Linked DNA regions of Notamacropus eugenii. The protein of the gene in region 1 binds, or shares a complex with, the protein of each later gene. Links are inferred from orthologs where the notes say so. Each region holds a gene or a part of one and is shown in the gene's direction. Other genes may lie near its edges. The genes, in order: DHX16, SNRPD3, SNW1 and SNRPF.

Region 1 (7,623 bases):
CTTTCCAACTGGGAAGGCAGAACTCCTTCCCACTCCTGAGTGTTGAAGATCAATCTTCCATCCTTCCTAGAAGCTGCTGTGCTGACAGACCCCATAAAATGAGCTGTCAGGAAGGAGAAATCCCATGGACTTCCTTCACCTCACCTTCTTTGTGCTGTGTCGGGAGAGGGGAAGGGGGAAGAACCCATCTGACCTCTAATTCATGATCTTAGGTTCAGACTGTTGTACAATGTGTTCTAGACATTTTCAGCGAAAGGAGAGAGCCTTTGGCTCTCTGGGAGTCAAAGAATCCAAATCCCCTAAGGAAGGGGGCAAAGCCTACTGAGTCATGAGAAGGTAGAATTTTCCTTCCTTCTGAATAGCACTCTATCCATTGCTAACCCCACCGTGCCAACACCCCACCCTGCCCCAAGGTTGGTAAGTGCAGGCCACTCTGCCTTGAGAAGTTCTGCCCTCATTCCTTCTGTTTGTTTACAGGTGCATCCATCCCCTCTGGGGGTTAAAGATGTACTTTTTTTCTGCCTGGGTCTCCACCCACTTATGTTTACAGCTTCCACTTTGCCAAGTCTCACTCAGCCAAAGTTCCAGGTTTACAGATCACACCTGCCATGGTTATGTTACCACAACTCAACCAGTGGGCGGTCCTCTCACTTGCCTTCTACTGTTTGGAGCTTGGCTTTCTTCTTGAATGTCTAGCCTCCCTAACCCTGCCTTGTTCAGTATTATTTGGGTCTTCCAAAAGGAGGAGGGGTGACCTCAATCTTTCCCTCCCTTGTAGCAGTTAATTCTTATGTTTCTTCCAGTGACCCAGAATTAAACTGAAGGGAACACAGGAGGGTCCTAATGAGGTCCTACCTTACATCTCCTTGTCTATGGCCTTTTTTTCCTTCTTTAATTTTCTGTAATAAAATGGAGGCCTCTCTGGCTACATCTTTAATTCTTCCAATGAGAAGTCTATGGGGTGGGAAGCATGAATTTGACCAGATTTTCATGCTCTAGGGGAAGGGAAGGGCATTCCCTGTTCTAGGGAACAGATTGAACTCTCTTTAGCTTTGTTGGTTGTAAGCAGAAGAAGAGACTTCAGTGCAGGGGGAACAGCTTTGGGGGAAAAAAAAATCAAGTGAGAAGAGCTGAAAAGATGGAGAAGTGGACCTGATACCCTCACAAATAGCTAAGAAAATCTCCCTCCTTAGGGTGTGTAGCCCATAGAAGGGAGGTAGGGAGTTCTATTGTAGCTGGCTCCAAAAGGAATTCATTGTAGGCCCGGTAGGGCCCTTAGAGTTCATCTAGTCCAATTATCTTCATTTTATGAACAAAGAAATTCAGTCAACAAACATATATTAAGCACCTACTTGTGTGCCAGGTACTGTGCTGAGCACTGGTGATACAAAGAAAGTCAAAAACCAGTTCCTGCTCTCAAGGAAAGATTTAATAAGATCCAAAGACAACATGTAAACAACTATGCACAAACAATACAGATACAGGATAAATGGAAGATAGTCAGCTGAAGGAAGGCACTAGAATTAAGGAGGATTGGAAAAGGCTTCTCAGAGAAGGGGGAATTTTTTCTGGATCTTGAAGGAAACCAGGATGACCAGGAGACAGAGATGAGAGAAAGAATGCCAGGAGTTCAGGCAGCTCTTGAAAATGCCCAGAATCAAGAGATGGGTTCCATCCAAAGTATTGCTGGATTGCAGAGTAAGGTATAAAAAGACCAGAAAGGCAGGAGAAGGCCGGAAGATTAAGGGCTTTGTAGACCAAAGAATTTCATATTTGATCCTAGAGGTAATAGGGAACCATTGGAGTTTGTTGAGTGAAAGAAAAGGGTTATCTGGTCAGATGTGTGCATTAAGGAAGATCAGTTTGACAGTTGAGTAGAGGATGGATTGGAGTGGGGAGAGACGCGGCAGGGAGACTAATCAGGAGGTTACTTCAATATTTCAGGTGTGAGGTGATAAGGCAAGATAGTGGCAGTGTCAGAATAGAGAACAAGATGACGGATAGTTCGATTTTTACAAAAAGGAGAAAGAACAGAATTTGGTGACAGATTGGATGGGGAGGGCAGTGAGAGTGAGGAGTTAAGGATGATACATAGGCTACAAGCCCTGAGTAGTTAGAGGATTGCAGTGGACAATAATAGGAAAGATAGGAAGAGAAGAGGTCTTGGAGGGAAAAATAATGAGTTTGGTTTTGGATATGTTGAATTTAAGATGTCTGCAGAACATCCATCTGAAGACAGGAGATTAGAGGCCAGGAGAGAGGTGAGGAGCTAGGTAAGTAGATCTAAGAGTCATCAATTGAGAGGTAATTGAATCCTTGGAATCACTAAGTGAAATAGTATAAAGGGAAAGGAGAAGAGGGCACACTTTAGGGACACCCAAGGCTAATGGGCATCACTCAAATGAATGAATAAAACATTTATTAAGAACTTGCTGTGTGCAAAGTACTGTGCTAAGCACTGGGGGATATACATAGAAAAGTAAGACAGTCCCTACTCTTAACCAAGGAGCTCACATTATAATAGAGATAACATATTGGAAAGGTTTCATGATCTTCAGGGTGCAGAGGCAAAGCAGATTATGTCCTTTCCACTGATAAAATCATTGGTTTCTGATAATGAACCATTTTACAGTGTCAAGGGCTTTGGTAGCAAGAATCCTGGGTCTTCCAGGACTACATTGGGTCCAGTTAGCTGTGGCTGTAACGCCTGTAAGAGCAGTTGTCAGGCTGCATCTACACAGGGTTTGCTTCCTAGGACGATGACTGAAGGCACTGAGGTTGGAAGCATTGCTATTCCCAAGACTCAGGTTCAGGATCATGACCTGTGCCCATAGGTTCCGAAAGGAGATAGTGGTCAAGGTTGTAATGATAATCTGACTTGCCAGACACATGCTGCCTTCTGGCTCTCTCTCTAGGTATCTTGTGTGTGGCAGTTGGTTGGCAGTTTCTGGGGATGGCTGGCTCTTTCACCAGAGGAGTTACCTCTCTAGATGATGACTGTAATGGCCAGGCCTGAAACAGGACCAGTGATCTAAGACCTGTTGCCACTTCTAGGGCCCATCTGACTATTGGTGGCAGTTGGATAGGAAGGTGGGCTTCTTCTCCACAATGATTCCTCCCCTCAATGAATCCAGAAAAGTAAGCTAAGAAGAAGCATTCACACTGGGAGAAGAACCAGGAAAGAATATTGTCATAAAAACTTAAAGAGGAAAGAGTATTTTTTTTTAAGAGAGTGATCTATAGTGTCAAAGGCTGCAAAGAGATCAAGAAATATGAGGACTGAGAAAAGGTCACTATATTTGGCAATTAGGACATCATTGGTAGTTTTGGTTAAATGATGAAGATGGGAGCTAAACTATACAGTTAAGACAGGAAAGAAGGTAGAGGCACCCATTGTAGACAACCTCAAGGAGGGTAGCCACAAAAAAGGGGGGAAAGATGAAGGACAATTATGAGGATAGATGGATCAAATGAGGATGGGGTTAACAAGGACACGTTGTTAGGAAGTAGGGAAGCAGCTAGTAGGTAAAAAGTGACTAAAGATTAACAACATGGGCAGCTAGGTGACCTAGTGAGTACAGCACTGGCTCTGGAGTCAGGAAGACCTGAGTTCAAATCCAGCCTCAGACACTTGACACACTTACTGGCTGTGTAACTTTGGGCAACTCATGTAACCTCAATTGCTTGGACACCCCCCCCACCCCCACCCCCACTCCCCCCCAAAAAATAACAAGAGAATAGGGAAGATAGTCTGCAAGAGAAGAGAATGTTCTTGTATGTTGCAATTTGCCATGGCAAGAAGTACTATCTGTGAGACAGAGGTGAAGGATCATTCTATCCGAATGATCTTAGGAGAACGAGCTCTCCATGAACAGTCTCAATTTTTTCAATGAAATATGAGTTAATGTTCTCAGTTGAATGAATAAGGGAGGGAGTCACAGGAATTTTGAGGAGGGATGAAAAGGTTTGGGAAAGCTATTGAAGCTGAAGTCCTGAGAAGCTGTAACTTCCCCAAGGTTATGTGCAGATAGAAAGCAACAGTATCAACTTCATGAGCTGGAATATCAGAAACTACTGTTTCCATTATTTCAAATATTCAGGCACACACTGCTACCCAAGCAATCAGTTGTGCAAGATATAATGTTTGTAGCTCTAATCTCTTTTAAGACCTTACAGTCTGGTCTCTAATTGAGAGATTTCCCCTCTACCAGTGGACAAGGCAGTTGACATAATAGTGAGTGTCTCGGTGATTTTCCAGTTCTCGGGCATCTCTATATATCTTCCACAAATGCCCACTGTACTATTCCCAAAGCCCTGATATTGAGAAAATCCCATCCTTCCTTCAAACTTCATCCAGGAGGCGCTTCCCCCAGCACAGAGAGAGCAGGCAGTCACTTAACCCTTCCACCTCTCCCCAGATCCTGGTTCCCGGCCTTTCCTTGCTGCGAAGTCCTCCTAGACATCTAACTTCTATCCTTCATGCTCCTCTTCTTGGCAGGTGAAGCCTGGCGAAGCCTGTAACGCCGCCCGCTACACATGCAATAAGACCTCCACTCCTGTAGGGGGAAGCCAAAAAAAGAAACGGGGTAGGAATTCAAACCGGAAGTTTTTCTTGTCCTCGGCCTCCCGAAAGGTCCCTTTTCGTATCGCCATTTTCCTGCCTGCTTGGCTGGCGGTACGGCCCGGAAGTGGTGGGTGCCGGGGCTACGGGCTTTGCGCCTCGGGGCCCTGAGGGGCCCTCGCTCTGCCTCCCTTCCGAGCGCACGCGCCCGGGCCGCGGCCTTTGCCGGGACCATTGCCGTGGCCGCGGGGCCCCGCTGGGGCCGAGCGCCGGAAGTCGGGGCCGGCTGACGCGCCCAAGTCCCCATGGCGACCCCGGCCAGACTGGAGCGCTGGGTGCAGGACGAGCTGCACGCCGTGCTGGGCCTGAGCGAGCGGCACGTCGCGCAGTTCCTCATCGGCACGGCGAAGCGCTGTGCTACGGCCGACGAGTTCGTGGAGCGGCTGCGGGACACCGGCACCTTAGACCTCAGCGGGCCGGCCCGGGACTTTGCTCTGAGGCTCTGGGCCAAGGTGCTTCCGGGAACGCGGAGGGAGCCCCCGGAGGCCGGGGAGACAAGCCCGGGGAGGTGGGGGCGGGGCCGGATGTCCTCCTCTGGGAGACGAGGGAAGTCCGTCCGTGGCCACCACGTCTCTCGGTGGCGCGGAGGTTAGCGGCTGTGAATAGTGACGAACCTGCGCGCCATAAATGCCCACGGGCACCGACGGCATGTGGTGTCCTCCTGCAGATGAAACTGGTGAAAGGGCGCAGGAGGGGCCCCAAAGTGCAGCACACGTCGGGCTGGCATCAGCGGGGCTCACGAGGGGGCATTACAGGGTTTACGTGGTCTACTTGTGGGATAAGACACCAGTAGATCTGCATGCAGCGGGTGGGATGGTTCCATCAGGTTGTCGTTGCGTGTGGCCTTAGTTTTCCAAGAGGACCATGACATGACATGATGACATGACTTTGATTTGAGTGAGGGAGAGCTGTGCAGGGTCACCAACCTCACTTGAGAGAGAAGCAAGACAAAATGTCATGGGAAATTCAAGGGGAAAGACCATTAAGGATCCAGGGATCAAAAAAAAAGGGCTTCATCCTCTCATTCCTCACCTGAACTGCTCCTCAACACACACAACTGGGGAAGCTGTTGTTTTCATTGAGTATATCCTAGTGCTAGCTCTGATCATAGGAATACATGTAGGAAGAGATCACAGTCACCACGTGTGCTAAACTAGGAGGATTCAGAGAGGCAAAAGACAGCCCCTATTCTCAGGGAGCTCACAGTTTAATGGGAGAGACAGCTGGTTTGTGGAGGTTACAAGGGGAAATAAAATGGATGTGTGGAAACTGAGGAGTTATAGGAAAGGGATAGATGATGAAAGATGTGAAGCAAGTGCTCTAGGGTACTGAGATAGGCAAATGGAGCTAGCAGCTGATAACCTTTTGTCATCCCTTCCTTTCCTAGGTCCCACGGAAGGCAGTTGTAGAAAGGCCAGGCCGGGTGGCAGAGCGTGAGGCTTTGGCTCTGCTAGAGAAGAATCGTTCATACCAGCTTCTGGAGGAAAGTGAAGAGAGCGATCGGGAGATCCAGAGCCTAGTGAGAAGTGGGTCCCAAAAAAAGAGCAAGAAACGGAAACATCTTAGGAAGAAGACCCATGAAGAGGAGGAAGAAGAGCAGGACTCTGAGGGAGACAAGAAGAGGACAAAGTGAGTATCTTGACAACAAAAAGTTCCCCAAGGGGAGTGGAATTTGGGTAGGAGAGCCAATAATTATGAGTCAGAGTATGATTAGACTCTGTTTCTCTCTTACTTTACCTAAACTGGGGCTGATCTGCAGGGTGAATGAGAGCAGCAAAGAGCAAAAGCCAGAGTCAGAAGATGAGTGGGAACGAACTGAGAGGGAGCGGCTTCAGGACCTGGAGGAACGGGATGCTTTTGCTGAACGTGTGCGAAAGCGGGACAAGGAGAGAACACGAAATATTTTGGAGCGGTCAGACAAGAAGGTGCATAATTGTTGGTGTGTCTCATAACAATTTATGTAGATACTCGAAAGAGAGTGGCAGCCAAGGAAGGCCCCTCTGTAGTTTTATACTCCTGATATCATTGTCAGATTTGTGACCCCACAGATGATAGTCCTTATGAAGGGAACTGGATCCTTGTAGCCCCATGTTTGTTGTTATTCTGGCAAGTATGACTATGGAGAGTACAGTCTTTTTTTTTTTTTTTTTGAGTACAGAGTCTCTTAAGCATCATTTTAGCATCTGCATTCATAGACAATTCTCCCCATAAGGTACTATGACCTCTAATCTGTCTTCATGATCCTTATGATTCTGTAGAAGTGGGGGTGGGAGCCTGGTTCCTTAACTACCTCCTTATTTCTCCTTTTAGGCATATGAGGAGGCCCAGAAGCGCCTTAAGATGGCTGAAGAAGACCAGAAAGCAATGGTAAGTCATATCCCCCATAACCTCTCTTGTGAGCCAAGATTAGATGCCTGGAAAAGATCCCCTGTGTGTTATAATGGAAAGAGTTTCGAGTCAGAGGACTTGATTTTGGTTAAACTCCATTCTACTGCTTCTGTCTATGTGATCTTGGGCAAGTGTCTTAGCCATTTGAGGCCTCCTCTAACTCATTTGTAAAATGAGTTGGCTGAACTAGATGATCTATATGGACCCTTCTACTTCTGCATCTCATGTTCTTATCAGTTGTCAGGTTCTTGAGACAGGTTGTAGTTGAGGTTTGGATTATATGTAGACACTACTGCAAGAGGTACAAAGGATAACCATGAGAAAGACTGCTTGCACGTGAAAAGTATGTTCAAGCTTGCTGCAAACCCTCCGTGGTTGGTTCTTCAAGGACCAAGTTATACATCGTATTAACAGGGGGATAAACTTCTTTTGGAGATTGTTTCCTTGTGTCATTGATGAATGTGCAACTGAAAGTTAGCTCAGAAGGAAAAGGAATGACTGGGTAGATGTCAGGATGCACTGGCTTTGGGGTCCTCTGCCTAGTCATCCAGCTTGGGGAAACAGGTCTTTATAGTTCTTGTGTGATATAGTAGAAAAAGCACTAGATTCTAAGT
Region 2 (6,883 bases), on another chromosome or scaffold:
AGAGAAAGGCCATGGCATCCAGGGACAGGCTCACCCCTGCTCCCCATTCTTCTCTTCAGGGTTTGACTCCGAGGGAGGAGGAAAGGAGGGAGGCAAAGGAAATGCCGCCAACAGGAAGGCAAAGATGAAAAGCTGATTTTGGCCAAGCTCCCCAAAGGGGCACCTAACCTGCCAGCCTTTTGTGAAGGGCTAGGAACCGCTGCCAGTGCACACAACTTGCCTAGGGCTGGGTGAAGTTTTTGATAAAGAATCTCATGCTAGTTTTGGGCAAAAGGTAGAGATGTGAACTTTTTGGTCACTCAGTCACTTCTGACTCTCCTTGATCCCACTTGGGGTTTTCTTGGCTGAGATGCTGGAACATTTGCCATTTCCTTCTTTAGCTCATTCAACAGATGAGGAAACCGAGGTAAACAGGATGAAGTGACCTGTCCAGGGTCGCTCAGCTAGTAAGTGTCTGAGGCCAGACTCAGGAAGTGGATTCTTCCTGGCTCCAGGCCCAGGTTCTGTTCTCAATGGTGCCATTAGTGGACCCACATGGACTAAAGAATACAATGAAATGAATTCAGAACTGGCTGATAGGTTGGTCAGTCATGGACCTTTGATGAAAATGTGGAAAGAGGTCTCCAGTGGAGTGCCCCAGGGATCTGACATCGATGGTCTGGACCAAGACACAGATGCCCAGTGGAGGACAGAAGGTGGGGAGGGGGCAGACAAGATGAAATAATAGCAGCATGGGTGGCGGGGTCTTAGGTTTGATAAGCTCCCCCGTGACCTCAGAGGCTCCTGACAGCCAGGAAGGGATTTGAGCTCCAAGGATGGCCTTAACAGGGTCTGGCGGAATGAGGACAAAAGTCATGGTCATGACAATGGCAGTGACAGAGAACAAGGGAGGGAGGGAGGGTCCTGGAAGGGCTAGCTCTGCCACAGAGGTTGCCCGGTGGGCAGACAAGGCTCAGTGACCCAAAGGGCCCAAAAGACAAGCAGCAAGATGAAGGGAAACCTTCCCAGTGAGTTTCTCTGATAAAGTGTCATTTCTAAGATGACATAGGGAGCATTGAGAACCCTTCTCCAATCGATAAATGGTCACTTTTCAATAGAAGAATCTAAGTCATTAAGAGCCATGTGAAGAAAGACTCTGAATCTCTGCTTATTGGAGAAATGCCAACCAGCCAGCGCCAAGGATCTGTCTCAGCCCCATCAGATGGGCAAAGCTGACCAAAGATGAGCCATGTGGGAGGGGTTGGAAGAATCTAGAGGCAGGAAACACTGGTATCACTCCTAGATATCTACCCCAAGGAGACCAAAGCAAGAGGAGAAATATCAATAATAGCTCTTCCTGTGGGAGCAGAGAATTGGAAACTGAGGCAAGGCCCATCAACCAGGAAATGTCTGGTCAATCTGGGCTGTAGCTATGATGGAGCAGTACTGAGCTATGAGAAACGAGGAAGGTAATAGGTCTGGGGAAGACTGGGGCAGAGAAGAGATCCAAGAACAACTACTATGATACCAGTGAGGTTCCTGGGAGCAGCAGTGCCCTGGGGGCATCAGGTACTCGGGGTGGGACTCAGCTGGGGCCTCGGGGTCAGGTCTGGGCAAGCTGGGGTGAGAAGGGCCTTGAGCTGCGGATCCACGGAGGGCTCAGGGCAGAGCTCTCAAGGCTGAGCTGGGAAGATAGGGCGGAATGGCACCAGAGCTGTCCGTGGGAGATGGGGGCTGTCGGCAGTGCCAGCTTTGCCACATGTGTGCTGAGGTGCCCAGGAGGGTGGGCTGAGGCTGTGAGCTGAGCCTGTCCCTTACTACCTGCGTGGCCTCGCTAAGCCTCAGTTTCCCCATGTGTAAAATCAGCATCAAGGCTACTCTTGGATAAACACTTTCCAACCACGGGAGTTAGAGCAGGGAGAGCATGGACACTGTCAAGGAGCGCACGCAGCAGGACCTGAAGCCCAGCCGCCACCCTCTCTCTGGGCCCTGGCAGGGATCAGACTCAGGGGTGCCCGGGGGCAGGGGAGGGGTCTCACCACTTCTCCACCAACACCTTGCAGGACGAGGCCCGGGCGAACAGCTGGTTGACCCGGCTCTCCTCGGCGTCGAAGTGTCTCCTGTAGAAGGACTGAGCGGAGAAGACGGCGTTTAGGCCGCGGTGGCCACTGACCTAGGCACGGCCCGGGCAGGGAGGGTAACAGCGCCAGCCTGGGATCCCCCTCTCCCCCCTGCACAGGCCCCCTTCCCAGCCGGGACAGCGGGGCTCCCCCACACCTGGTTCCGGTAGCCCTTGTCCACGCCCAGCGTCCGCGTGCAGAACCGGTGGCGCGCCCCGAAGTGGCGCATCAGGTAGGCCAGGTCGATGGTCCAGATGCTCCGGGTGAGCTGCAGCTCCTGCAGCGCCTGCTCGAAGGCAGCGTCGTCCTCCAGGAGCTTCAGGTACCTGGGGCGGGGGAGTGCGCGGGTGGGCCACTGGCCAATCATCGAGCTGAGGGAGGGACTGGGGCGGGCCCGGGCAGGGTAGCAGCCAATCCCCGAGCGGGGGAAGGGAGAAGACGCCAGGCAATTACCGAGCTCTGAGGGAAGGCTGGGGAAGGAGCAGAGGGGAGGCATCGGCCAATCACTGAGCTGAGGGCGGGGCACGGTGGACCATCGGCCAATCACCGAGCTCAGGGAGCGGGGGAAGGCGGGGCCTGAGGGGGGAGGAAAGAGATGGAGGCGCGGGTGGGTCACCGGCCAATCACAGTACTGGGGCGGGGCCGAGTGGGGCCGACTAATCCCCGAACTACGGGAGCGGGGAAAGAGACAGAAGACAGGGACCCGCAGGGGGTCAATTACCGAGCTCTGAAAGGACAGGGGAGGGGCCGAAGGGAACACCGACCAATCACCGAGTTGAGGGAGGGACTGGGGCGGGCCCGAGTGGTGCACCTCCCAAACCCCAAGCGCGGAAGGGGCGGGGACAGGGACGTGCCGGGTGGGCCAGCGGCCAATCCCGGAGGTCAGAGGAGGGGTCACCAGCCCGGGCCCCGCCTCACCTGAGCACCATCCTGGAGCAGGCCAGCCCGCAGTCCCAGTGGTACAGCTGCTGCACGATGGGCACCTTCAGTTGCACGAAGTCGCCTGGGACAGAGGACTAGCATCGGAGGAGGGCGGGGTTGGGGCCCTCCCCCCATGGTCCAGCAGTGACCCCGCCCCGCCCCTCCCAATGTGCTGGCTCCGCCCTGGGAGCCTTCGCCCCGGCCGAAGTTCAAATTCCGTCCCCGCCCTGGCCAGTCCTGGGGCTCCTCCGCCCTAGGGGACCCGGGCCTTTGGCCTCCGGATCTCCCGCAGAGTCCCAGGCTGGGCATCCAGGAGATGCTAATTCCGTGCCCCTCAGTCTTGGTCAGGGCGGGCTAGGACCCCGTACATGGACCCCTGGGCCGTGCCTCAGTATCCCCCGCTGGGAGACCGATCTAGGACCCCGTAAGCGGACTCCCTGGGCCGTGCCTCAGCCTCCCCAGCTGTCAGAACGGGCTGACTCCATAACCCTTCCCTTTCCCCCTGCCCGTGCCTCAGACTCCCCGGCTGCCCTCACCGGGCTCGGCCCCGGCTCCCTCGGCCTCTTCCCTCATGCCGCCTGCGGGCGGACGGGCCGGGGCTCGGGCTGTGGAGGCGCCTTGGCCATGGCCCCGGCCCGATCCGCTTCTGCCCGGGATCTCGGCCCCCGCCTCGGTTCCTCAACCCCTCTCCGGCCCCACCGCCGCCACGGCCGCTCCCGGGAGGACGCGAAATCTCTCACGGCGCATGCGCTAGCGCACGCACAGCGCGCCACCGACGCGGCACGCAAGGCGCAGAGGCCGAACCCAGGCCACGCCCCCATCCTCCATTTCCCGCCCCTTTCTCGAGCACGCGCCATGGGCCCCGCCCTCAGGCCCCGCCCCTGTAAGCCTCTAGAGTCTCTTCTCCCGCTCCCACCGGGCTGTCTAGGGGCGGAGCGATCCCCGGAAGTGCCCACCCCGCTTCCGGGCCCGGTGCATGCTGGGACCGCGAGACCCGCCATTCAGTTGCCGCTGTTTGTCGCACGTTCGCGCCGCCGGAACCGGAGCCGGGGCGGGGGCTGCAGGTGAGGCCTGGGCCGAGGGGTCCGCGCGACCCGGGGCGGGGGGAATGGGAACCGGGGGGGGGGGCGGGAACGGGGGGAGAGTAGCGCGTGGGCGAGGGGCTCTGGCTCGGCGTTCAAGGCCATGCCTCCCGCCCCCGCGCCTTTCTCTGGCAGGGCCTCCCTCAGCCTCCTCCAGGGATGCCCTGGGCCCCGGGAAGGAGGGCGCAGGGGGGGGTCTCCAGGCTGGGGGCGGAGCCCCATCCCCACTCCCTGTTTCCCCCAGCCCTGATTCGGAATTTGTCCCCCCCACCTGGACACCAGCGGCGGGGCGGCAGCCTGCCTCAGTGCCCCCCCCAGGCCTTCCTGCACCCGGAGCCCCTCCCCCCAAGTACACCTCCCAGCTGCGTGCCGAGCTCTAATAACAGCGCCCCCCATCTGCGAGGCGCTTACTCGGTGCAGCGCCGGACATTCAGTAGGTGCCGCCTAAATGCTTGTTCCTCCCCAGGGTAGGAGGAGGACCCCCATTGTCTTCTCCTTCACTCGGACCCGGGCCTGGCGCAGGGTTTCCGGGCTGTCGCTGCCCGGTTGGGTCCTGGGGGGCTGGGCTCCAGTGCCTCACGTGTCCCGCTGGGCCCCGCAGGTTCTCGCTGTCGCCAGAATGTCGATCGGTGTGCCCATCAAGGTCCTGCATGAGGCGGAGGGGCACATCGTCACCTGCGAGACCAACACCGGGGAGGTGTACCGGGGCAAGCTGATCGAGGCGGAGGACAACATGAACTGCCAGGTACGGCGTGGCGCCGAGCGCGGCGGCTGGGCACGGAGGGGCGGGGCAGCGCAGATATGGGGGGCAGGCGGGCACTGAGGCTGGCCGCTGGGCATGGAGGGGCCAGGCAGCGCAGACATGCGGGGCAGGCGGGCACCGAGGCTGGCCGCTGGGCATGGAGGGGCCAGGCAGCGCAGACATACGGGGCAGGCGGGCACCGAGGCTGGCCGCTGGGCACGGAGGAGCGGGGCAGCGCAGACATGGGGGTCAGGCGGGCACCGAGGCTGGCCGCTGGGCACGGAGGGGCCGGGCAGCGCAGACATGGAGGTCAGGCGGGCACCGAGCCTGGCTGCTGGGCACGGAGGGGCCGGATGGTGCAGACATGGGGGGCAGGCGGGCACCGAGGCTGGCCGCTGGGCACGGAGGGGCCGGATGGTGCAGACATGGGGGGCAGGCGGGCACCGAGGCTGGCCGCTGGGCACGGAGGGGCCGGATGGTGCAGACATGGGGGGCAGGCGGGCACCGAGGCTGGCCGCTGGGCACGGAGGGGCCAGGCAGCGCAGACATGGAGGTCAGGCAGGCACCGAGGCTGGCCGCTGGGCACAGAGGGGTCGGGCAGCGCAGACATGGGGGGCAGGTGGAGGCAGCCCGCTGGGCACGGAGGGGAGGGCCCCTACCCACCCCAGGTCACGTGTGGTCAGCAGCCCGGCTTAGGGTGCAGGGGCCGGGCAGCACAGACATGGGGGGCAGGTGGGCACCGAGGCTGGCTGCTGGACATGGAGGGGAGAGACCCTACCCACCCCAGGTCACGTGTGGTCAGCAGCCCGGCCTAGGCTGCAGGAACCAGAGGGGCTGGGCAGCACAGACATAGGAGTCAGGCCAGGTGCCAGGCTGGCAGCCTTGGCGGTTTCCCCGCTGGTAGTAATGACAGTAACAACTAATGACATTCATTTTGTGGCAGGTGTTAATTGTCTCCTTTGAGGTCCAGACAGGCCTGGGGCAGGCTCTGTTAGGATCCCAGTCTATGGTTGAGGAGCCTGGCCATTGCCCAGGGTCACCCACCCGGCGTCTGAGGCCTCCCAGTGGGAGGATGCAGGGAAGGCTTCCCAGAGAAGGAGGTCATAGAGGCTGGAGAGAAGCCTCATGGGAAGGCTGCCCTGAGGTTGCAGGGACGGGGCTGGATGGCCCGTGCTGGCAGGTGTGGAGGCTGGACAGCCGAGCTCAGAGCCAGCTGTCTTGGGGATAGAAGTGGAAGGGAGAGCTGGTGGGCAGGCAGGCACTCAGTAAGCATTTCTGTGCCGCACTCCAGGCAAAATCAGTGCTGGGGAGAAAAGGGCAGACCCTGCCCCTCCCCTGGGGAGCTCCCAGTCTGAGGGATGAGACAACAGGTAAGCAGCTCTGGATGATGGGGGAACCAGAACCAACCTAGGCTTCTTGGACAAGGTGGGATTCAACTCCCAGAGATGGGAGAAGAGAGGGTGTTGTAGGCATGAGGCAGCCATTGAATTCAAAGGCACGGAGGTGGGAAATGGAATGTTGTGACCTGGAGCAGAGAAAGTGTAAGGTACCAAGAAAGGCAGGAGACGTCTAATTATAAAGGCTTTGAAGGCCAGGCAGCATTTTGTGCTTGATCCTGAAGGTTATAGAGGAGGAGGGTGGGGGTGATATGCTCAGACCTGCGCTGGCTGAATGATGTCCTGGAGAGGAGACTGAGGCAGGCCATCCATCCAGGTGTGGAGCAGGGTGCCACCAAGGTGAAATGGTTGGGCTTTAGCACCATGTTGGATCTGAAGGGGTGCGAGGGAATAGGGAGCCCAGGGCCTCCTGGGAGGTGTGCCAGGGGCATGGCATGTCTGGCATGGCAGAGACTCAGAGGTGGAAGGGGCATCGCCTCCAGCTCCGCCCCTGTGACTTCCATTCTCAGTGTGAACACTTCTCCAGCTCTGACCTCTCTGTCCCCATCGCCAGTTAGCCGTGCTTCATTCCAGTTGGATGTCATGCCTCATAGGCATCCCCCGAGTCCTCCTCCCCGCTTCTTCCCCTATAGCCATGGAGGA
Region 3 (7,848 bases), on another chromosome or scaffold:
CAATATTATTATTGCAGTAACATGCCTGATCATGTTACTCTCCTGCTTAAGAAACTCCAGGGGCTCCCTATTGTCTCTAAAATCAAACTCAAATGCTTCTGTTTGGCATTTAAAATCTTTTACAGTCTGCCTTCAGCCTGTATATCCAGATTGATTTCACATTACTCTCTCTTGCAAACTTAACATCCTGGCCAAACTCCAACACTTCAGCCATTTCCCATACTCAACCTGAATTTCCTCATCTGAAAAATATGTGGGCAAAAATAAGCACCTACTTCACAGGGTTGTTGTGAGGATCAAATGAGATAATATATGAGGTATCTTTTGCTTTTGTGCCTTTATGTAAGATGGCATCCATGACTAGAATATAGTCCCTTGTCATTTGCCTCTCTTAGAATGTTTGGCTTTCTCTGAGTCTCAGCTCAAGTGCCATCCCGTATAACAGAGCTTTTTAAATTGTGACTCCATATGGGGTTATGTGGCTAAATGTGGGGGTCACAAAATATCTGGCAAAAGTAAAAGGTTTCTGAATGCACAATGACCCAAAACTAACTCAAAATCAAATGAATGTGAGGCGTTTCTGCCAGCGCTTGTCCATGTTGCATTACACTACTTCCCTGCTGCCTTGGTTCTGAACACACAATATGCATACTTTGCACTGCTCATGTGCATACCATCACTCCACACAATGCCAACGAATATCGCCAAGAACAACTCAGCTCATATTGGAGACTATTGTATGTTATGAACTGAAGTTGTTGTTTTGTTTTGTTTTTACCATACGTACCAAATCATTAAGTGAATTTTGGCTTAGGATAAGGACAGAATTTCCAACAATTTCTGAATGGCCCTAAACATACTTCTGCCATTTTGTACTATGTATTTATGTGAAGTGGTGTTCTCAGCATTGACAATTATAAAATCAAAATATCAAACATCTCTGAAAAACACTGAAGATGTTCTATGTCCAACAGTATCAAATATTCTGCCAAGATTTAATTCTTTATGTAAAAATAAACAGGCACATCCATCTCATTAGTATGTAAATTTGCTTTTCATTTTAGTAAATGGTAAAATTATATGTATACCAAAGAATTGTTATAAAATAAATTTCTTTATGATTTATTATTAATCAATGTTTTATTTGTATCCCTATTTTATATACCTACATGCTCAGAGTTGCATAAAAATTTCTCATGTGCAAAGGGATCAGGAGTAGAAAAAGTTGAAGAAGTCCTGCCCTACACAAGGTCCTTGCTGGTGTCCCTATCCCATAGAATAAATAACTTTATTTTGATTAATCTGTGCATATACTATTTTCCTCTAGTATAATGTATGCTCTTTAAAGACTTGGACTATTTAATTTAGCTTAGCTTAGCACTTAGTACAGTACTTAGCACCTAGTAAACACCGTATACTGTTGATTTGTGTCTTTAGAACCTATTGATATTAATAAGCCTTTTCTGAAAACTCTAGCCCATGTTGATCCCTTGCTGTTGTGAGCTCTCATTTACAGTATTAGTTATTGTTATTACTATTATGGTAGGAAAACCAGAACTTAACTCTTCATTGTTACCACAATTTGTTTCATCTCCTTATCATCAGTTGTCACTAAGAACAAAAGTTCATTAGGGCCCACATTAGACCGTGAGATCCTTGAGAGCAGGGGACTGTTTCTTTTCTGTCTTTGTTTACCCCCGAAATGAGCAGCTTCTGCCACAGTAGGTACTGAATAAAATGCTTGTGGATCTACTGTCTTACTATGTGGTGCTGTCCTCGGTACTGAAGTATTTGTTGTTCTTTGAAGGGCATCCAACAGTTCCTCCAGTATTAAAATATTTCCCCCAAGTCCTGCAGCAGCGCCTTCAATTGTATTATTAGAGATAAGTATTCCTTTGATTCCAAAAAGTATAAAAGCAGCTAGCATTTTTATAGCTCTTTATGGTTTGTATCATAAAGATGATCTCATCCTTACAATAACCCTGAAATGTAGGTGCTATTATTACCCCCGGTTTACAGATGAGGAAATTGAGGTAGAAAGTTCATTGACTTGTCCAAGGTCACACAACTAGTAAGCGTCAGATAACGACTTTGAACTCTGATCTCTCTTGACTCCAGGTCCAACGTTTTGCCCAATGAGTCCCCTAGGTTCCTCTAAAAACATCAATTCCATTAGCTGACAGGTTCCTTAGACCAAAGACCTTGTTAAACTGCTCTGAAAAAGTATCCCACACCAAATAGCGAGACTTCACAATTTGGCTTAGGGCAGGCCTTGAACGTCACACAATGTGGGTGACCTCATGGCGTACGTTCAATTGAAGCGTTAAAGAGAGCTGAATCCGCCCTTGCTCTATTCGCCCACGGTTTCGCCCCGCCCCCTCCCCGCCCTTCGCTCAAAGTACTACAAATCCCAAGAGGCCTTTCGTTAAAGGTGCGTGCGCAGTGCTCTCGCCTTTTCTTCTCCGCCTTCCCCCTAACCCTTTCAGTTGCCTAGCAAACCCCTCCCAGCTGAGCTGCCGCGAGCGCTGAAAGCAGCGGAAGAAGATGGCGCTTACCAGGTGGGTTTTGAGGTCTGTGGGGGAGGAGGGGGTCTGCGTTACGGAAGAGATTCAGTTCGCTTTTGCCTTTTATTCCTCGGCTTCCACACTCTGGGAGGGTGCCGGTCAGGGGAGTAGCGATGCTTTGGGGTAAAGCTGTGGGCCAGGACTTCCCGTTAGCGGCCGAGTCGACCAGGCCTCCCCGGAAGCCGGGGCCTTTCCTGAACACCTACCCCGAGCGCTGGCCGCCCCTAGTCGTGGCTGCCGACATCGGCGTGGCTCACGCTTCCCTGCCCCTGCGCGTTCGAGGATTGCCTTAGTTGTTCTCGTTTCCGAGGGCGAGGGAGTGAAGAGGCCTTCCCTCCTGTGGAGGGAGGTGGAGGTGGGGAATCTGGAGGGAGGTGGAGGTGGGGAATCGGGGCTGGCATGTGGGGACCAGGAAGGGGACGGTGGTTACCGGTGGTGGGAAGGAGCTGGAAGCTGAGGCGGGCTTCCAGCCGCTGTCTGCTCCCTTATCGGTTGGACCTTCTCGGAAAACAGAAGAGTGCCTCCGCCTGGCGAGCTCTGAATTGGGGGTGAGGGGACTCATGGCCAGTCCAGTGGAAGAGAACTACCCCCCCCAGGCAGATCTGAGTCCTGCCGCTTCCCGATGTGGTGGGAGCTGCGTGTGAAGGCGGCCCCCGATTGCCAGCGAATGATCGTTAGTACGTAGTGAGCAAAAAAAAAAAAAATTACGTAGCTGAGACTAATTCCTGAAACAGGTGCTTAGTAAGCGGAAACAATTTTCCTTAAAAACACACACCGGCAAGAGAAGAGGAAACTCGAGGAGAGACTGCGGAAAGTCAAGCCATAAAGGTTTATTGTGTTCCAGGTACTCCGCCAAGCCCTGAGAATACCAAAGAAACCAAGGAGGCCCCTAATCTAGCGTCATCGGTATCCCCAGCTCCTGCCCCTTTCCTGCTGTTCCTACTTAACTCATCATTCCGAACGGACCATAACAGTGAAGCTTGGGAAAAAAACGAGTTACATGGTGTGGTCTGTAGAAAGGGCAATTGAAGAGGCGAACTCTGGTTTACAAGCCTCTTTTACTCTTGACCAAATGTAGGCATACAAAGCAATTGAAGTGTAATAGAATGCTGACTTTTGTGGGCAGGGAGGGAGAAGTACCAAAGGAGTTAGAAGATAGGTAAGGAAAGGCTTCACTGAGGAAGTAGGACCTGAGCTAGATATTGTGGAAAGGGTGGTGTGTGTATAAACACACATAGGCACCCATATGTATACATTTATGTACATATTCATACAAGGGAGATGCCCAGTAGTAACAATATCAGTATTGGCTTAATTTTAAGGTAGGCCGGTGGTTCTTATGTTTTCATTGAATTCGTTTTTGCTAACTTTATGAAGCCTGCAAAGTGGAAATCTTAAACTGTTTAAAATTGAAACTGTTCCCCTAGGAATTGGTTTTCCTCTATCTTTTAAGCATTTTACTTCTTGACTCTGTTCAATTGAATTTTCCAAAGGGTTAAACAGCATGCCCATAGGACTTCTTGTGGATAGTTCCAGTAGAAATTTTTGGGGGAAGTCTGACCTAAGTTCTTTTGATCCATACTATATTAGCATGCAGAAACAAGAGTTGGACTCTTTCTGTCAAAGATAGAATTGCTTTTCTAATGCTAACAGTATGTTTAAGGCAGTGATTGACTTTTCTTTTTATTCTTGGTTGACCAGTATTTTGCGGGACTCATTAAGCCTTTTGTACAGTGAATGTCAAAGGTTTTGTTCCATGTGCTATAATTCATTTTCAGTATAAATACACTGGATCTTTTTGCTTAATAACTTAACATTTATTATGATCAATACACTGGAAGTATAGTCAAAAACAATTCAAGTTGGCACTACTTCAGTTTCTTAAACGTTAATAGCTTTTTTCAGAAAATCAACCTTTTTGTTGTTACTTAAGATTATATATATTCTTGAATTGAACAGGATAAAAAAAGGATTCTTAAATGTACTTTTTTTTTTTTCTCTTAACTGCTACATGCCTATTCCCTATCCTTTTCTTTCTTTGAGGTTTCGACTTCTCTTCCCTGTTTCTACTTGTCCTTCAATATTGGTACTGTAATGATTAAAAGGGAACAAAAAGAAAATCAGTATTCTGGGCAATCATTCTCTGAATGACTGAGGATTTACTCTTAGGTTACAAGAGATTGAAAAACATAGTATAATAGCTATTGTGAGGTATACAGAGACAGTCCTGGTCGTAGAACTCATCTCATTTGCCTTTAGTCAGATATTCTTGATCCCATGAATGAGTACTTCATTATTACCTGGAATACAAAATGACTGGTATTGGCATTTCTACAGATCAGTAGAGATTCTCCCTTTTCATGAAATTAGCCAGAAAAATTTTATTCTCATTATTGATTTGAATGACATAAAGTGTTTTTGTTTGTATTCTAACTTTTCTCCTTATCCTTTTTTATAGCTTTTTACCTGCTCCAACTCAGCTGTCTCAGGACCAACTTGAGGCTGAGGAAAGGGCAAGATCACAGAGATCAAGGCAGACTGCACTGGTCTCATCAAGAAGAGAACCTCCTCCTTATGGTTATCGGAAAGGTTGGATACCTCGTTTGTTAGAGGTAAATATTAGCCTTCATTTTGGATTTATTAAATTGATCAGGGTTGCTGTAGAATTAATGAGTAAGTCTAAACCATGGAGTTTTCTAGCATCTACTTCAGTACTGTTTTGAAATATAGTTGTCTAAAGTAAACTAATTATTAGTATTATTATTAGTAAACTAATAGTGTTTTACCCTTTGAAAAGTGCTGATGAATAGGGAAATAGTCAAGAAGTAGGATGCTTAAAAGATAGAGAAAACAAACCAAACAACCAATTCTTAGGGAAATAGGAGTCCCTAACCCTTCTCACAAAAGGTATGAGCTTGAGTAATGGCAGGAATTAATTTCGTCACAGGTCCAAAATCCTTTGTACGTGCAAAAAAATCTTTATAGTTTTGGTAGGGTAGAGAAGTAGCTCTGGAAGATACTGCAAGTGTTAGGGAAAAACTGGAGTTAGAGTTTATAAGATATTGGAGAGAGACAGGACATTGGAGCCAATCTAGTCCAACCCCCTCATTGCAAAAATAAGGAAATTGAGGTACAAAGGGCATTGTCCATCAGTGGAAAGCAGGTCTGAGCTTAATTCTCTCATCTGTAAAATGGGGGGTGATAATGTTTACAGATTATAGATTATGTGGAGAACACCATGTAAATCTTATAGTGTTACATGTAAACATTAATTCTTATTCAGGAATCTTTGACATGTTGTTTTTAAAAATTGTCTCCATATGACCTGATGCTGAGTGAAAGGAGCAGAACCAGGAGAACTTTATGCACAGCAACAACCACAGTGTGTGAGAGCTTTTTCTGGTAGACTTAGATTTTTGTAATAACACAAGAACTTCCGAAAAAAAAAAAAAAATCCCAATGGTGGACCTCAAGGCAAAATGCCTTCCACACTCAGAGAGAGAAATATGGAAGTCACTCACATAATGTAGCAGATCATGTTTGTGTATGTGTATCTGTTTGTGTATCATGTTCTGATTTGTTATACGGATTCTTTCATTTATCTTAGTCTGACTACATAGCATGACTATAGTGAAAATATACTCAATAGGAAAGTATATGTAGAATCTATACAGAATTGTATGCAGTCGTGGGGAGGGAGGGAGGTAGTGGGGGGTGGGTGGGGAGGGATAAAATCGCAATTGTATGGCAGTGATTGTTAAACATTAAAAAAATAAAAAAATTAAAAAAAAAAAATAAAAAAAATAAAAAATAAAAATTGTCTCCTTCCAGTGGAATAAGCCCCTTGAAGGCAACATTGTTTTTAATTTTGTCTTTGTATCACTAGTCTTAGCATAATTTTTTCAACATAGTAGGCACTTAATATATGATTGTTGAATTGTTGGTGTGAATACTCCCCATATTGTGCCCATTGCCTCGTTTCTTTGACTCAGTATTCAGTCTTTGAAAGCTGATGAATTTCTGTTTAGAATATCTTGTGACCAGTCTGCTGGTGGAACTCTTTAGACTTAACTTGACTGCTTGTCAGACAATACACATATTCTGAATTACCTTTCTAGTTCTTGGAGTTATCAGTTCTTTGCCACTACAAAAAGAGCTGTTACAAGTATTTTTGTATGTATGGGTTCTTTTACTCTTTCTTTGATCTCTTAGGAGTATAGACTTCCAGTAGTGGTATATGACTGAGTCAAAGGGTATGTATTGCTTAATAAATTTTGAGACATAGTGCCAGATGACCTTTGCACAACAAGTGGACCAGTTCACAGCTCCATGACTAGTAGATTAATATATGTTTTTTTCACAGCTCCTTTAGTATTGAGCTCCTTTATCATTTTACATTTTTTATCAATTTAGCCAGTCTGATGGATGCAATGGGTGTGGAACCTCACAGTTCCTTTAATTTGTATTCTGTAATTATTAGTTATCTGGAGCCTTTTTTTCACATGGCTGTTAATAGCATTGATTTCTTCCTCTGAAAACTGCCTATTGATATCATTTGGCCATTGATCAATTGGAGCCCTTATTCTAATAAATTTTAATTAGTTCTTTATATAGCTTGGAAATGAAACCATTACCAAAAAAAATGCTGCAAAGATTCACCCCCCCACCCCAGCTCCCAGTTACCTACTTCTCTAATTTTAGCCACATTTGTTTGGTTTGTACAGAAACTTTTCTTATTTTATATAATAAGGATTTTCCATGTTTGGTTCCTTGTTTGGTCATGAGTTCTTCCCCTATTCATAAGTGTAAATAGTAATCATTGCTCCTCTAATTTGTTTATGATGTCACCATTTCTTTCTGAGTCATGTATCCATTTGGGGCTTATCTTGGTTTTAGTGTTAAATTGTGGTTTATACTTTTCATGTCTCCCAGACCACTTTCTGTTCTCCCCAGAAGTTTTTGTTGAATAGTGAATTCTTATCTTAATAACCTGGTCTTTGAGTTTATCTAAAACTGGGCTTCTTCAGCAAGTAAAATGTAAAATCATGTAAAATTAGGGAGTGTAGCCTTCTTGCATTTCAGATTTCATGTAGTTAAAAAGGAATTGATAATTAACTTCATGGCGTAGTTGAATTTTTAAAAATCTTATTTTAATAGCTAAGATTTCTTAAAGCTAGGTAGAGCAGAATAGGTTTTGAAAAGTCAAACTAAATTGGCCTGTTAATCTGAAAATGCCATGGGCACTTTTCCAGAAGAGTGAATGTTTGGAGAAAAAAGCATCTGG
Region 4 (7,150 bases), on another chromosome or scaffold:
ACTCCTTTCTACAAATTAGATCCCCATGACACTCCACCTGTCTCAAGCAATTCCACTGTTTGCTCCCACCTGCTCCCCCCCTCCCCATGCCTGGAATTCATCCTACCTTCTTCTCCAACTCTTGGCTTCCCCAACTTCCTTCAATTCCCTGCTAAAATCCCACCTATTTTCAAGAAACCTTTCCCTATCCTCCTTAATACTAGTGTCTTCTCTCTGTTGATGATATCCAACGTATTCCACATCCATCTTTGTACAGTTGTTTTTATGTTGTCTGCCCTACTAGGCTGTCAGATCCTTGATAAGAGGAACTGCTTTTTGCCTAGCCCAAGCACCTGCCACATAGCATGTGCTTAAGGAATGCCTGCTCTGCTGACTCCATCTATCAAGTATCATTGTACAGCATACGGACTGAAGTAAAAGAGTTAGGGGCGGTCAGACTACTAAGAGCCTAAAACGCCACAGATTATACAGAATATTCCAAATGTCTGTTTTGCAGTTTTAAGCTATCAAAGCTTAAGTTTTAATTTCAAGGAGATCCGCTCCTGGATGTAATAGGGAGCTTAAGGAAGGGTTAAGTGGTGAGGTAGGATGACAAGCTAGGCCTCACCCAGCCTCAGACGCTTACTACGCAAGTCACTTAACCTGTTTGCCTCAATTTTCTCCTCTGTAAAACGGGGAAAATAATGTTTTGGAGGGTTGTTGTGAGAATTCACTAATTTGGGTTTACAATTCAATAAATTATATTTCAACATAATCAAGCCAAATAATATTCCCAACATACTATCCGACATAGATATACTGCAATTACGTATTTGGAAACATGACAGCGAAGGGCAGGCTGGTCTAGATTCTCCTCCAAGCTATGCTTCTCCAATCACCGACGAAGGGGCAGCAGGATGGGAGCCTCGATTTACATTCGGCCGTGTCCTCCGGGCCCCAACCTCCCATGTATATACGTGTATATACACACATATACACATGTATACACACATATACACGCATATATACACATATACATACATGTATACACATGTATACACACATACATATATACACATATACACACGTGCATACACATATACATACATATATACACATGTACATACATGTATACACATTGTATACACATATACATACATATATACACATATACACACATGTATACACATATACATACATATACACATGTACATACATGTATACACATTGTATACACATATACATACACATATACACATGTACACACATATACATACATATATACACATGTACATACATGTATACACATTGTATACACACATACATACATATATACACATGTACACATACGCATACACATACATATATACACATGTACATACATATATACACATGTACATACATGTATACACATTGTATACACATATACATACATATATACACATGTACACATACACATACATATACACACATGTACATACATGTATACACAGAGTATACACATATACATACATATATACACATGTACACACATGTATACACATATACATACATATATACACATGTACATACATGTATACACAGTGTATACACATATACATACATATATACACATGTACATACATGTATACGCATTGTATACACATATACATACATATATACGCATGTACACACATGTATACACATATACATACACATATACACATGTACACACATATACATACATATATACACATGTACATACATGTACACACAGTGTATACATATATACATACATATATACGCATGTACACACATATACATACATATATACACATGTACATACATGTACACACAGTGTGCACACATATACATGCATATACACGCATGTACACGCATGTATACACATATACATACATATATACACATGTACATACATGTACACACAGTGTATACACATATACATACATATATACGCATGTACATACATGTACACACAGTGTGCACACATATACATGCATATACACGCATGTACACGCATGTATGCACATATACATACATATATACACATGTACATACATGTACACACAGTGTATACACATATACATACATATATACGCATGTACATACATGTACACACAGTGTATACACATATACATACATATATACGCATGTACATACATGTACACACAGTGTATACACATATACACATATATACGCATGTACACACATGTATACACATATACATACATATATACACATGTACATACATGTACACACAGTGTACACACATATATACGCATGTACACACATGTATACACATATACATATATACACATGTACATACATGTACACACAGTGTATACACATACACATACATATATACGCATGTACACACATGTATACACATATACATACATTATATACACATGTACATACATGTACACACAGTGTGTACACATATACATACATATATATGCATGTACACACATGTATACACATATACATACATGTATACGCATGTACATACATGTACACACAGTGTACACACATATATACGCATGTACGCACATGTATACACATATACATACATATATACACATGTACATACATGTACACACAGTGTATACACATATACATACATATATACGCATGTACACACATGTATACACATATACATACATACACATGTACATACATGTACACACAGTGTGCACACATATACATGCATATACACGCATGTACACGCATGTATACACATATACATACATATATACACATGTACATACATGTACACACAGTGTATACACATATACATACATATATACGCATGTACATACATGTACACACAGTGTATACACATATACATACATATATACGCATGTACACACATATACATACATATATACACATGTACATACATGTACACACAGTGTACACATATATACGCATGTATACACATATACATACATATATACACATGTGCACACATGTATACACATATACATACATATATACACATGTACATACATGTACACACAGTGTATACACATATACACGCATGTACACACATGTATACACATATACATACATATACACACATGTACATACATGTACACACAGTGTACACACATATATACGCATGTACACACATGTATACACATATACATACATATATACACATGTACATACATGTACACACAGTGTACACACATATATACGCATGTACACACATGTATACACATATACATACATTATATACACATGTACATACATGTACACACAGTGTGTACACATATACATACATATATACGCATGTACACACATGTATACACATATACATACATGTATACGCATGTACATACATGTACACACAGTGTACACACATATATACGCATGTACGCACATGTATACACATATACATACATATATACACATGTACATACATGTACACACAGTGTATACACATATACATACATATATACGCATGTACACACATGTATACACATATACATACATACACATGTACATACATGTACACACAGTGTATACACATATACATACATATACACGCATGTACACACATGTATACACATATACATACATGTATACACATGTACATACTTGTATACACATTGTATACACATATACATACATATATACACATATACACACATGTATACACATGTGTAGATATACGTATATATATATATTTGAGATTAGGAAATGAGGCTCCGGGACCCGAGGCGACTTGCCCCGGCCGAGCAGGGCCTTCCCGGCCACGCGTCCCGTGCTCCCGAGGGGCACCCTACAACCTCGCGGAGACGGAAGGAGCGAAGCCAGGCCCCCGGGGGAGGCGAACGAGGCCCCGGGGTCGCGATACCTACAGCCGCCACCCCCCTCCTCCGGGGAGGCCGCTTCTGGCGCACTGTCCCGTCAGCAGAGGCAGCGTCCGGTCAGGATTAGGGAACAAGAACACGCTCAAGGGCAAAGAAATAACTGAGGCACTTTGGGGAAAAAGGTTTTTTAAAATCTCCGACTGTTGGACGCGTGCGGCGCAGGCGCGGGAGGAGTCCGCATGCGCACTGAGCAACCCCGGCACGAGCCTCTCCTGCTCGGCTCCGCCCCGCCCCGCCTCCAAGCCCCACCCACCTGCTTCCGTCCAATCCGAGAGGCCCGGGAGGAGGAGAGCGGGGGAGGAGAGCTATGACAAGGAAGCCGGGGTGAGGGGTGAAAGTTCACCTTCCCGGCTGGCGGCCATTTCCCTGCCTTCCGTACGCTTGCCGGCTAGAGGGAGGCGGAGGTAGGGGCGGCGGTGGCTCGCTTCACGTGGGCGCAGGAGAACCGGCGGCGGCGGACGGCCCGTGGCGCTCTTCGGTGGTGACGATGGTAAGGGGGCGGCGGCAGCGGCGGCGGCAGCGGCGGGAGCCGTGGCGGCCTGGTAGCGGCGTGAAGAGCGTCCGCACGGGTTCTCGCTTCCCGCCTTGCCCATTCATTTGCTGTGGGGGGCGGGAGCGGCCTGGCTCGTCCCTTTCTTCCCTGTCCCCCCCCACCTCCGGTCTCGCGAGAGGAGCGGCTCGCGAGCCTGCTATTTTTCCCTCCTACATTCCCCCTCGACCCCAGTTGGTTTCGCCCGAGTCCTGCGCTTTAAAGCCTCCTGGAAGGGGCCATTTAAAGGGGGGCGGGGGGAAAGGAGGCGGGGCCAGAAGGGAACTTTCCGTGGACTCCTAGAACTTAAGCCAGGGGGAGAGAGCTTGGAGCCGCGGGGCTGCGGCCGTCTGGGCCCACCTCCTCACTTTACAGCCCGGGAAACTGAGGCCTTGGGCAAACTTCCCTGGTCGGATGGGCCAACCCCTTTACAGCCGGGGAAACTGAGGCCCCAGAAACACAGCCCTAGGCACAGGTTGGGATCCAGAAGGGGCCTCAGAGGCCGTCTGTGATACAGGTTCACTGCTGTTATATTTAATAATAATAATCGAAGATCAGGGAATCACTCTGGTCAGCTCCTGGCTCCAATTTGTGCCCCCTTTAAACTCCGAGTTATCCTCTTATAGCTCCTGAGCCTCAGTTTCCCTCACCTGCCAAAAAAAGGCACCTTTTTCCTCTTTTTTCTGTAGTTTGGCCATCTTATTATATTTTATTATAATTATCGTATTTTATATACATAATTATTTTATATACGTATAATGATTATTATATTTTATTATTTCCCTTCCCCCAAAAAAAGTAAACGTATCTGAGTTTTCCTTCACCAGTGGCTTCCAGCAGTGCCTTGTGGTGGGGAGGTGACTGTTGGTTATCATAGTGTAGGAGAAATAGCTTTGGCCTTAGAGATGCAGGGTTCAAGTCCCTGCTCCGTCCCAGTGTTAGCTGGGGGCACTTGGGCCAGCGTTTAAGTGCCAGCTCCAGACCAGGTGCCGGTGCCAAGCACTGGGGATACAAAGAGGCCAAAGACAGTGCTTCCCCTCAAACGTGCCACCTGGGCTTTGATTTCCTCCTTTTAGAAGGAGGAGGGGTGGACTTTACTCTTTCTAAAGCTTCTAACTCCCATTCTGGGGGCTTGGTAGAGAAGGAGGAATCTGGAACTGTTGAATAAACGAATGTGAATTTATCTATTTCATCCCATCTCTGTGAATCAAAAATGAAAGAGGTTAACCATAGCAGGACTCAATAGTTTGGGTACTAGGAAAGGCTGAATGTAATATAGGGTGATTTAGGAAAGTACGAGGAGTGGGCTCTGGGCTTCTCTGTCAAGTAAGAATATTGGACTAAATGAACCCTCATGTTCCTTCCCTTACTTGAGATCCTGTGAAAGCTCCATCTTGACTAATGTCTTGCCTTTATCACCTCATCTCTGTACAGAGTTTACCCCTCAACCCCAAACCATTCCTGAATGGACTGACAGGGAAGCCAGTGATGGTGAAGCTTAAGTGGGGAATGGAGTATAAAGGTTACCTGGTGTCTGTGGATGGCTACATGAACATGCAGGTAAGCTAAACTCGAGTGGGGTGGGCCTCACTTTACTTGCTTTCTGAGACTTGGAGCCTTGTCCAGGATTTCAGTGAAAAGTCATGTCCTTTTAATAATTGATACCTTAATTCCTCTCCTAAGCTTCAGGCTTCGGAGTCTTAATTTACTTGAAGTAAAGAGGGCAACTAGGTGGTGCAGTGGAGTGAAGCCAGGAGCCAGGAAGACCCAAGTTCAAATTCAGTCTCAGACACTTACTAGTTGTGTGACCCTGGGAAAGTCATTTAACCCTATTTGCCTCAAGTTTCCTCATCTGCAAAATGAAGTGGAGGAGGAAATGGCAAACCACTCCAGTATCTTTGCTAAGAAAACCCCAAATGGGGTCATGGAAGAGTCAGACACAACTGAAAGGAATGAACAACCACAATTGAGAGGAGCCAGCTTGTGGTATAACATTTGCCAGGTATGTTGGTAGTAAAGTCACTCTATATGCCCTCTCACTGCCCTTTGGATTGATTACTTAATACTTAGGATTTTCGGTGATCTAAATGGTCCTTGATTCACAATCATTTAGCATTTGTTTTTAAATAGACAAGCAACTAATAATGTTAAAAGACTTTACTTCTTAAGAGGAAAATAAAAGATTATTGTCAGGAAAACTGGAATTCAGAATTTGAATGTATTGTAGAGAATTTAACCGTGCTTTGTGTGCTTTGCAGTTTAAATAAATGTGTTGATGTAATACTGAAGAATGTAACTGGAGATGGACTTATAACCATTTCTTCAGAGTATTATTTTAGTAAAACAATTGAAATTAGCTTTTTAAGAAAGTATGTTTTTCTTAAATGAGATAGAATAAATCTATCTTTGATTAAATTTTCTTTGAGGAAAAATTTATTTTCTGCATTTAAAAATATTTTTTCTGAGAAAAGCCCCATCCATAGGCTTCATCATAAGCTCCCTACCCCCTCCTCGATATCTACATTACATAGTTATCACTTGGTCTCCATCCTTCAGAAGATGAGCCTCTTTGAATTAGGTGAGGCTTGTGCTCCAGCTGCTGTCACAAAGGTCACTTCCACCTCGGTAGGACCTGCCAGCATGTGCATTCTACTCATAACTTTGTAGAGCCATGTCATGAGACATCAGAGTAGGATTTTACTGGTGGGTTTAGAAATAATAAAAAAGCAAATGTTAGGCTGTTTTTCTTGCCTCTGTCATGAAC

What was found.
Region 2: DHX16 (region 1) and SNRPD3 share a complex: the UniProt entries of both Homo sapiens proteins name them as parts of the minor spliceosome. The link is inferred for Notamacropus eugenii from reciprocal best matches to the Homo sapiens genes DHX16 and SNRPD3.
Region 3: DHX16 (region 1) and SNW1 share a complex: the UniProt entries of both Homo sapiens proteins name them as parts of the minor spliceosome. The link is inferred for Notamacropus eugenii from reciprocal best matches to the Homo sapiens genes DHX16 and SNW1.
Region 4: DHX16 (region 1) and SNRPF share a complex: the UniProt entries of both Homo sapiens proteins name them as parts of the minor spliceosome. The link is inferred for Notamacropus eugenii from reciprocal best matches to the Homo sapiens genes DHX16 and SNRPF.

Annotation. Positions count from the first base shown.
Region 1 is NC_092873.1:84,542,450-84,550,072, reverse strand, and holds the start of DHX16 (pre-mRNA-splicing factor ATP-dependent RNA helicase DHX16), read left to right. Parts: upstream 1-4,603; 5' UTR 4,604-4,866; coding exon 4,867-5,073; intron 5,074-5,081; exon of another isoform or gene 5,082-5,288; coding exon of another isoform or gene 5,289-5,297; intron 5,298-6,008; coding exon 6,009-6,250; intron 6,251-6,380; coding exon 6,381-6,546; intron 6,547-6,931; coding exon 6,932-6,988; intron 6,989-7,623. UniProt on the Homo sapiens protein: Required for pre-mRNA splicing as a component of the spliceosome. Contributes to pre-mRNA splicing after spliceosome formation and prior to the first transesterification reaction.
Region 2 is NC_092875.1:1,748,923-1,755,805, forward strand, and holds the start of SNRPD3 (small nuclear ribonucleoprotein Sm D3), read left to right. Parts: upstream 1-3,877; 5' UTR 3,878-4,084; intron 4,085-4,703; 5' UTR 4,704-4,721; coding exon 4,722-4,847; intron 4,848-6,883. Other genes in the region: protein GUCD1, read right to left, coding at 2,019-2,110, 2,257-2,425, 3,018-3,102, 3,557-3,593. UniProt on the Homo sapiens protein: Plays a role in pre-mRNA splicing as a core component of the spliceosomal U1, U2, U4 and U5 small nuclear ribonucleoproteins (snRNPs), the building blocks of the spliceosome.
Region 3 is NC_092878.1:61,529,966-61,537,813, reverse strand, and holds the start of SNW1 (SNW domain-containing protein 1), read left to right. Parts: upstream 1-4,830; 5' UTR 4,831-4,845; coding exon 4,846-4,883; intron 4,884-5,022; coding exon 5,023-5,176; intron 5,177-7,848. UniProt on the Homo sapiens protein: Involved in pre-mRNA splicing as component of the spliceosome. As a component of the minor spliceosome, involved in the splicing of U12-type introns in pre-mRNAs.
Region 4 is NC_092874.1:278,477,627-278,484,776, forward strand, and holds the start of SNRPF (small nuclear ribonucleoprotein F), read left to right. Parts: upstream 1-4,127; 5' UTR 4,128-4,344; coding exon 4,345-4,347; intron 4,348-5,820; coding exon 5,821-5,946; intron 5,947-7,150. UniProt on the Homo sapiens protein: Plays a role in pre-mRNA splicing as a core component of the spliceosomal U1, U2, U4 and U5 small nuclear ribonucleoproteins (snRNPs), the building blocks of the spliceosome.